2 linked regions of the Macaca fascicularis genome follow. The protein of the gene in region 2 purifies or fractionates together with the protein of the main gene of each other region. This does not show direct contact. Links are inferred from orthologs where the notes say so. Each region holds a gene or a part of one and is shown on either strand. Other genes may lie near its edges.

The links.
Region 1: the proteins of PSMB9 (region 2) and PSME1 purify together in Homo sapiens (affinity purification with mass spectrometry; 3 studies listed by BioGRID and IntAct, counting the BioPlex papers as one, with this or other methods). This does not show direct contact. The link is inferred for Macaca fascicularis from reciprocal best matches to the Homo sapiens genes PSMB9 and PSME1.

The regions. Positions count from the first base shown.
Region 1 is NC_088381.1:91,949,843-91,954,108, reverse strand, and holds PSME1 (proteasome activator complex subunit 1), read right to left. Parts: upstream 2,864-4,266; 5' UTR 2,749-2,863; coding exon 2,710-2,748; intron 2,027-2,709; coding exon 1,994-2,026; intron 1,872-1,993; coding exon 1,809-1,871; intron 1,695-1,808; coding exon 1,584-1,694; intron 1,496-1,583; coding exon 1,450-1,495; intron 1,316-1,449; coding exon 1,218-1,315; intron 969-1,217; coding exon 900-968; intron 822-899; coding exon 754-821; intron 671-753; coding exon 616-670; intron 542-615; coding exon 455-541; intron 282-454; coding exon 201-281; 3' UTR 55-200; downstream 1-54. Other genes in the region: EMC9 (ER membrane protein complex subunit 9), read left to right, coding at 1-7. UniProt on the Homo sapiens protein: Implicated in immunoproteasome assembly and required for efficient antigen processing. The PA28 activator complex enhances the generation of class I binding peptides by altering the cleavage pattern of the proteasome.
Region 2 is NC_088378.1:138,874,045-138,878,540, reverse strand, and holds the start of PSMB9 (proteasome subunit beta type-9), read left to right. Parts: upstream 1-1,504; 5' UTR 1,505-1,548; coding exon 1,549-1,608; exon of another isoform or gene 1,609-2,462; intron 2,463-3,460; coding exon 3,461-3,528; intron 3,529-4,153; exon of another isoform or gene 4,154-4,366; intron 4,367-4,496. Other genes in the region: TAP1 (antigen peptide transporter 1), read right to left, coding at 339-936. UniProt on the Homo sapiens protein: The proteasome is a multicatalytic proteinase complex which is characterized by its ability to cleave peptides with Arg, Phe, Tyr, Leu, and Glu adjacent to the leaving group at neutral or slightly basic pH.

The sequences.
Region 1 (4,266 bases), on a different chromosome or scaffold from region 2:
TGCCTGAGCCAGGGCCAGCAGGGTCCAGATCCAATAAAGAGACTTGGGCTGATGGGCAGTGGTATAACTATATTTATTGTGCCTGGGAGGCAAGATGAGGGAAAAATCTCAACAGAAGCAAGTTTGGGGAAAATCTGGAGTCCCCAGTAAAAAGTAGGAAGGTCTCTGCTGTACCCATCCCAGAATGGGAGAGAGGGCTCTCAATAGATCATTCCCTTTGTTTCTCCCCTGGGCTTCTTGAGCTTCTCGAAGTTCTTCAGGATGATGTCATATAACACAGCCTACAGGGCCAGGGAGGAGTGGAGGTCAGTCAGAGGCCTCCAGTGGCTCTGTGCCCCATTTCTAGCCTTGTGGAGAAGCTGCGCTTTGTCACCCTTTACCCCCAGCCTGCAGGGTCAGGGAGTGCGTGGCCTGGGAAAGCTGCCTCTGCCCACCCCTGCCCTCGCCTCCTCACATAAGCATTGCGGATCTCCATGACCATCAGCCGGATGTCCCGGTACTCTGCCTCATCCAGCTCGTGCACCAGCTGCCGATAATCACCCTGTGGGAAGCTCGGGTCAGGCCTGACCTTACATGAGTCCTTCCCTCATGCACCCTGACCTGGGCCTCACCTACCACATGGGGCTGCTTGGCTGCTTTAGTCACTGCATCACCACGCTCAGAGAAATACCTGTGGAAGGAGAAGTGTGTATGGAGTAGAAGAAGGAGGTCTCTGTCCCAAAACAGACAGTGTGTACATGGGTGGTCACTCACTTAGAGATTTGGGTGTGGAAGCCTTCTAGCTTGGTGTGGAGGCTGGTCATCAGCTCAAACACCTTCTCCTAGGGAAAAAAAGCAAGGGGGAAAGTAGAAGGAAGCATGGACTAGAAAAGAGCAGGGAAGTGGGGCAGCACTCTCACCTGGACAGCCACTCCAAAATTGTTACCATCCTCAATCCGAGGTATCTGCAGCTGCAACCAGGTGGTGACCTGGGAAGAGGGAATGGCGTAATGCCACATCAGCCCTCTATCCAATTCCGTTTCATATTCTCCCTTGCTTCCCTCCCCACACTGGCTGGAGGCATGCCAGGTCTCTCCTGAGCCTCAGAGCCCGGACTTCTGGTTTCACTTGCTGTGCCCTCTCTTGCTAAAACCTGGCATGTGCCAGGCCCTAAATGGCAGGGACTAAGAGGACAATGGTTTGACTTAAAGCCTGAGAGTTGAAGGGGGAGAGCCTACCAGGTTGAGCTGCTCAATGACATCCTTGATCTCAGGCTTCAAGCGCTGCAGAAGGACCAAGATCTTTTCATTGCAGTTCACTGGACCACAGGGAGGACCTAGAGAGTGAGCAATGGGTCAGTCACATGATTGAGCCTGTGTGAGGGTTGAAGGGGAGAGTAGAAAGAAATCCTTAGGAGTAGCTCCTGTGGGTGGGACTCAAGTCTCTTCCCACAATTGTGGTTTCAAGTACCTTTGTCTTCATCCTCCCCCTTCTTCTTTTCATCCTTGTCTTCCTTCTGCAGAAAAAGAGGGGCTCATGAGAGTCAGGACTAAGGTTGATTACCCCCATGGTTGGATCCCTTCTCCCAGGTCTTCCCAGCTTGCCTCCTGCTGTTTCTTCCGTTCCTCTTTCTCTTTCTCCTTGACTGGATCAGGCACTGGGATGTCCAACGGGGCCTTCAGATTGCTCAGGTTGGCTTCATTGAGAGCTGGCTCCTGGTGTAGGGTGGGAGGAGGGCTGGAGGTGAGGGGGTTCCTTTCACCTCACTCTCACAGCCCCTGACCCTTCTCTTGGCCTTTACTCCCTAGCTCCCTGCCCAGCTGCGGTACCTTTAAAAATGCATCCAGCTCAGAAATCTTCTTGGGGAAATAGCTCCCGAGCAGGTTCTCTGTCTGTGTGTGAGGTGGGATGGAGAAGGATGGGAGTCAGCATCATATGCCCATCCTAGGTGGTGAGGCAGGGTTGAGCAGTAGGAGTTGGGCAGGGGTGGGGCCGCTGATGGGGCATGTCTTACCTTGGTACAGAGGTCTTCACGAAACACATCCACCTGTGGGGCACATGCATCCCTTCAGAAACTTGGCTTTAAGGCCAGTTCATTTGAGGACAGTTCCCTTAGGGTTATGTAGGGCCTGACCTGGGGAAGGGTGGAGGGGATCCCTCTAAGGCCAGACCTGAAGAAAGCGAGATGGATGCCTGTGGGGTGGGTTGGGGTGGTGGAGGAGTGGAACTCTGCAGACCTGGATCTACGGAGAGTGGAATGGGTATCCCTAGGGCTGGATACGGGGGATGAGAACATTCCTGGCAGTGAAGGGCCAGTGGTTCACGTGAGACCAGATCCCTGGGGTCGCCTGGCAGGTGTGAGGAGGGGTGCTGAGAGCCCTCTGCGAGCAGGACAGGGACGGGGTGGGCCCCGGGACCCTCCCTAAGGGAAAGGCCACGAGGTAGCTGGGGCAGTCCCGCATCCAGTCTGTGTGTGGCCCCGGCTCCAGGCCAGCGGAGTTCCCCTCCACGCCAGCTCTCCGCTTCACCTCACCCCACAGAACCACGGCCGCCTCGCCTGTCCCCGCAGGCAGCAGTCACCGCCCTCCCCGGGGCGCAGGTGCTCCGGGAGCGCCAGCTCGGCGGACTGCCCCTGACTTGTGTGGGAGTCTGGGGGGCGGGTCGGGGATGCCCCCGGCCGCTCGAGCCACGCCTCCCCAGTGGGCCTTTTCTAGACCCCGCGGCGCTCACCTTGGCTTGGGCCTCGGGCTGAACCCTGAGCGTGGCCATGACCGGGACGGGGGGCCTAGCGCCGCACGAGGAACGGAGTGGGCACCGCGAAGGGAAAGCGAAAGCGGCGCTCGCACCACTCACGGCCTTCCTGGGTAGTGGGGCGGGGAGGGCTGGAGGAGGCGGGGTCAGCCCGGCCAGGGAGAGGTGCAGTGCAGCAGAGGAGGGCGGCGGGTGCGGCTCCCCCTAGCGCGCACAGGCTGCCTCGCGAGGGCCAGTTTCCAGCCTCCCCACCCCCGCCGGCCGGGTCCCCGCCTCCCCGCCCTCCTCTCGTCCCCGCCTCCCGCCTCCCGCCTCCCGCCTCCCGCCTCCCGCCTCCCGCCTCCCGCCTCCCGCCTCTCGCCACTCGCCGCCCGCCGTCCGAGGACGCCGGGTCCTCCCATCGTCTAGTCTAAGCCAGTCTCTCCGCGCCCCGCCCTCCACCTTCCGCCTCCCAACTGGCTCCCCACCTGCTCTCTTCTTCCCCTGCTCCGCCTGGGACAGATAAGTCTTACTTAGGGCTCTTCTGTCTTTCCCCAGAGATGGAATAAGACCTGGCCTCTCTTTCCTAGCCTTGCTAGCGTGGGCCTCTGGCTCTGCCGACATCCTCCGCACCTGTAGCAACACCGGCACCAGAGCCGACAGCATCCCTATCCAAGCCCGGACCAGCTCTCTCCTGGACCACCGCGGCATATGCCATTCTACAGCCCACTCTCACAGAGCAGCGGGTTCATGCCTCTGTCTGGCTTAAAACCCTTTCTCAGCTGCCTGTTGACCTTAGAATGAAATCCAAAAGGCTGTTGCAGCTGTCTCCCCTTTAAGTTCACTTTCTACTACTTGCCCCTTCATTCATTACACTTGCAAATACTCGGGCTATTTGTTTCCCAAATGTGTCATGTTCATTCCTGCCTCAGGGCCTTTGCCCTTGCTAATAATCCCTTTGTCTAAAACACACTTACCCTGGGTGTTGTCATTCGGTTCTCAGTTTAGATGTCACCTCTTCAGAGACAACTATTTTCATCATCCTCTATAAGGAACCTCCCTCCAAATGCATTACAAATCAGCCTGTTTTAGTACATTCATAGCATTTATCTCTGATATTAGCCCGGTTTTTTTTTTTTTCTCCCCAGGATAATTCACTGATTTAAACTAGCAAACTGTGTGTGTGTGTGTGTGTGTGTGTGTGTTGGGGGACAGAGTCTCACTCTGTCGCCCAGGGTGGAGTGCAGTGGCACAATCTCAGCTTACTGCAACCTCCACCTGCTGGGTTCAAGCGATTCTCCTGCTTCAGCCTTCGCAGTAGCTGGGACTACAGGCGCGTCCCACCACGCTCGGCTATTTTTGTATTTTTAGTAGAGATGGGGTTTCACCATGTTAGCCAGGATGGACTCGATATGCTGACCTCGTGATCCGCCCGCCTCGGCCTCCCAAAGTGCTGGGATTACAGGCATGAGCCACTGCGTCTGGCCAGCTTTTTCTATAAAGAGCCAGAGAGTAAATTGTAGGCTTTATGGGCCTTACAGTGTCTGTCTACTCAAC
Region 2 (4,496 bases):
TTCAGGATTTTATTAGGAAGGCTGGAGATCATGAAGTAGAAAAGCCTCCTGTTAGAGATGAGGATGCCCCGCCCTTCGGCCCCAGAGCAAAGGATTTCCCCGCCTCCGGCGTGGCCCAGAGAATCAAGACCCGGCCATCAATCAAGCCTCGAACTTCTGGCCCTGCCAGTCCAATGCCGTTTCTTCTACACTGAAGTGGTGTTCCAAGACCCATGCTAGGATTCCTTCCCCTGCTCCACATTTCCCAGAACCCACGCTACTCTACCTCACTGACAATTACTTTTGATTCCTGTCCCGGTCCCCTTATGTCCTCCCCTCTTGCCCTGCGTTCCCCTTACCAAGAGAGGAGAGGATCACCAGGACCAGGAACAGCGAGAGCCGGCGCATCTCCGAGCCCAGGCAGCCTAGAAGCCGACGCACAGGGTCTCCAGAGACGCCCTGACCGCCGGTCACCCAGAGGCTCCCGAGTTTGTGCCACAGGGCTGCTGCGGGCAGTGCTGCTGCATAACTGACGACGAAGGCGCTAGGGTGACTTCCCCAGTGCAGTAGCCTGGTGCTATCCGCGGCCCCTGGAGCTCCCCACGAGATCAACTCTCGGAACAAGGCAAGTCCCGGCAGGGCCAAGCCCAGTGCCGCAGCTAATGGCTCCAAAGCAGCCAGCCAGCCCTGGGCACCTGCGTTTTCGCTCTTGGAGCCAACTGTTGCCCTGAGGACCCCGCAGGCCCCCAGCCAGAGCACGGCCCAGCGGCTCAGGCCCACCGCCCAGACCTGGAGCAGCGGCAGCGCGGTGGGCACCAGCAGAGAGAATATGCGGGGTAGCGCGGTCCGGAGCAGCACCCAGTCGGTGAGAAGTAGCAGTACTGTCCCCAGCCATGCGAGAGAAGCTCCAGGAAGGCAGCGGCACCCGCGGGGAGCGGGGCACCTAGAGCTAGCCATTGGCACCCCGACGCCGTTCAGGTCCCGGCCGGCCCTGGGACTCTCCGTGCTCCAGCGGGGCCTGAGGCTCTGGGTACCGCGGAGTCCGCCCCTACTGGCGGCTGGGGGAGGGAGAGAGGGCGGAGCTCTCGGAAAGTCCCAGGAACAGTCTGATCCTGCGCTGGCGAGAAGCGCAGCCACTTAGGGGAAAGCGAAATCGAAAGCGGCCGCCTGCTCACTAGATACGCCTACTTCCAAAAGTGGCCTGCCCAGACTATTTTGGGAGCAAGCGTGGAAATCAGATCTGAGAATCTTGGGAGCAACCCTGGTGCCCAATTTTCTCCGTCACGCACACCCCTCCCGCCTCTCCCTGCCTCCTGCCTTCCCACTAGCACCAGTTTTCCCACCCCAGCCTCAGGGCGGGGCTGTCTCGTCACTTGTCTCCGGGCAGATCTGCCCTATACAGGTTAGCGCCGCGCGCAAAGCCGCCGCGCAGCGCGCAAAGGCGCACAGCAGCACCCAGGCGCCTCCTGGCGGCGCCGCGAAGGGGCGGGGCTGTTGGCTGCGCGCTGCGCGCTGTCCCAGGTCAGAAACCAGTGCCCCAGGCGGCGAGGAGAGCGGCGCCTGGCAGGGATGCTGCGGGCAGGAGCACCAACCGGGGACTTACCCCGGGCAGGAGAAGTCCACACCGGGGTAATGGGTCTGGGCTTGAGGGTTGGCACAGGGATGGAGGAGGTGTACCGGCCAGGGGACCCTGGAAGCGCGGAGAAGTGAATGCAGAGACCGACGGGAACGTAGGGAGGTAGCCTCTAGCAGCCAGCACTTGCAACCCGCAGTCAGCATAGGGTATTTCTTTTCTTGGGGGGCGGGGGGGGTCGCCTAGCGTGTCCGTGAAGGGACCAGGCACGCGAGGCTGGTGGAAAAGGGGGTGCTTTGACTCCTAGCTGGAAGCGTCAAGGGGAAGCTACTCTAAAGCGCTTTCGCTTTCACTCTGGTCCCAGACAGTGGGGGCTGGTTAAATCAAGAAAGGGGGTTGGGGATGGTGCAAAGAGATGAAGAAATGGTTCCCTGGGTGAAGTAGAACAGCACTTGGGAGAAGGAAATATAGGCACTTATTGAGAAGGACCAATTCATCACACAGACTTTTGATAAACTTGCCACTGGGTAACTCTTAGCCCAAGCACTGATAATGGGGGTTCTGCGTTAACCAGTGATGCCCTTCCCTAGCTTGACCCAGAAAGGCTCCTCCTTGGCCCAGATGCTGCCTTGCTCCCTTCCCTGTGTCTTCCCTGCCCACTCCCATGTGCCCACTGGGGGGACTTTGCTTAGGATGGGCGCCTGGGGCAGATGGCAGTCCCAAGACTGGCTGGCTGGCTTCTGCTCTGGACTACTGCCACCACTCGTGGCTTGGGGGCAGCTTTGTTACAGAGGAATAGCCTCTAACTTGAAGTTAACCCTGTTCTTTGACCCTCTGTTCATGATAAGTCGGTCCGTCGGAAAGCACACTCAGAGAAGCGTCCTTTGGGGCCAGAGTAATTTACAGCCTGGTAAGAAAGGCACAGTGAAACCACTTATACTCTGGGAAATCTCCCCTCACTGCCAAATGAGCAGTGGCAAGTAGGAAGTAGAAGTGGAAACAAGGGATAAGAGTTAGACCTGAATTTTAGTCCCAGGTCTACTATTAATTCTGTGTGACTCTGCATAAGTCGTTTGCATTTTCTGTGACTTGGTTTCCTCATTTGAACCGAGGATCTTTAAGACTCCTTCCAACTCAGCAGCAGGAAAAATGTAGCTCTATCTCCCCTCACTTTTTCTTGATTCTTTTCTTGACCTGGAAAAGTCAACTTAAACTTCTCAGTCAAATCCTCTCTTGGTACAAATTTACCCCCCTGGCTGCTGAGATATTTACCTCTTGATCAGAAATTCCATAACTGAAACTTTTATTTTAAACCATCTACGTGTTCCTTGCTGCTTCTCTCCTGCCTTGCCGCTGGCCATGCTAACCACTGCCCTCCTCGATTTTTTCCACTGTTCAATAAATTGAAAGAGCTCACTTCTGATGAAATGGGGGTTGAGAGTGGAGGATTGTGAACAAAAGAAAAGAAAAGAAAAGGCTGACCTTGTTTCCCAGAATCATAGTCAAATGCTCTGTGTTGGGTCTAAACCACATCTGCACATACTAGGAGCCTTTCCCATGGAGATAATTTTCACTTGTGGAGCTGCTTCACTTCTACCTGTAGGAACCTCATCTCCACCTCTCTCTTTACAGTGGAGAGGATTCCACTAGGCAAGTTGGAACTCAGGGCCACAGTTCTTTCTGTGTTGTATCACAGCTGCGCTGTGGCATTCCCCTGCAGCCAGATGAAGCAATAGATAAAGTGGAAAGATGAAGGGAAAAAAGCCTGTACTGACAGTCAGCTCTGGCCTGTTACTGTGTGATCTTTGAGCCAGTCAACTTCGCCTCTCTGGGAATATTTTTTCTTCTCTAACATGAGGGCATCAAGGCTCTTCCTGCCCTGATATTCCATATTCTGTGTCTCTGCAGACCACCATCATGGCAGTGGAGTTTGACGGGGGCGTTGTGGTGGGTTCTGATTCCCGAGTGTCTGCAGGGTAAGTAAAAGTGAAGATGTATGCATTTGGAAAGAAGCTAATGGCCTCAAATACACATTTTTCTTACCCATTCATGAAAAGACTGGCAAATCGGAGCTTTGGAGGAATGGAGTTGACCTTCCCAAAAAGCCACTATGATAAGCTATTTGGTGGGCGCTTGGGTCTCTGAATTTGTGGAGGAGGATCTGGGGTCTGAATGCGTATGTGACCTGTCCCAGTAGTGTACAGGGATGAGTGTAAAGGAATAGGGTCTGAGTGGGGGACAGGAGACAGATTTTTGAGGAGCTTCTTTCCATCTGTATTTAGAGATCAAAAAGATGATTCTGTCAAGCAGATACCTGGTTTCTCATTTACCATATATTGAACTATGTTGTCTCTTTCCCCCCTCCTAACCAATTTCCTCACATGCAAAATGAGTATATAGGGTTAGGTCAATATTACTTACATTATGTTCCATAGAACATAGTTATGTTCTATGTTAATAGCATAGATTGTTAATAGCAAAGAAAAATTGATGAGGCATATTTTTCTTACCTTAGCATTTTTTGCTTTGTTATAAAATCTAAGCCTGAAAAATAAACCTAATTTTGATTAACATCTGCAGTGATTAATAATATCTGAGATGATTATTTGCCTCCTGCTTTAATCCAAGCATTAAACTTCATGCTATTCTCTTGTCAAATAAATTTGAGAGACATTGAATGATCACCTTCAAAAATTCCTGAGTTCTGGTTGGGTGCAGTGGCTCACATCTGTAATCTCAGCACTTTGGGATGCCGAGGTGGGCAGATATTTGAGGTCAGGAGTTCAAGATCAGCCTGGCCAACATGTTGAGACCCTGTCTGTAATGAAAATACAAAAATTAGCCGGGCTTGGTGATTGATGCCTGTAATCCCAGCTACTCGGGAGGCTGAGGCAGGAGAATCACTTGAACCCGGGAGGCAAAGGTTGCAGTGAGCCCAATATTG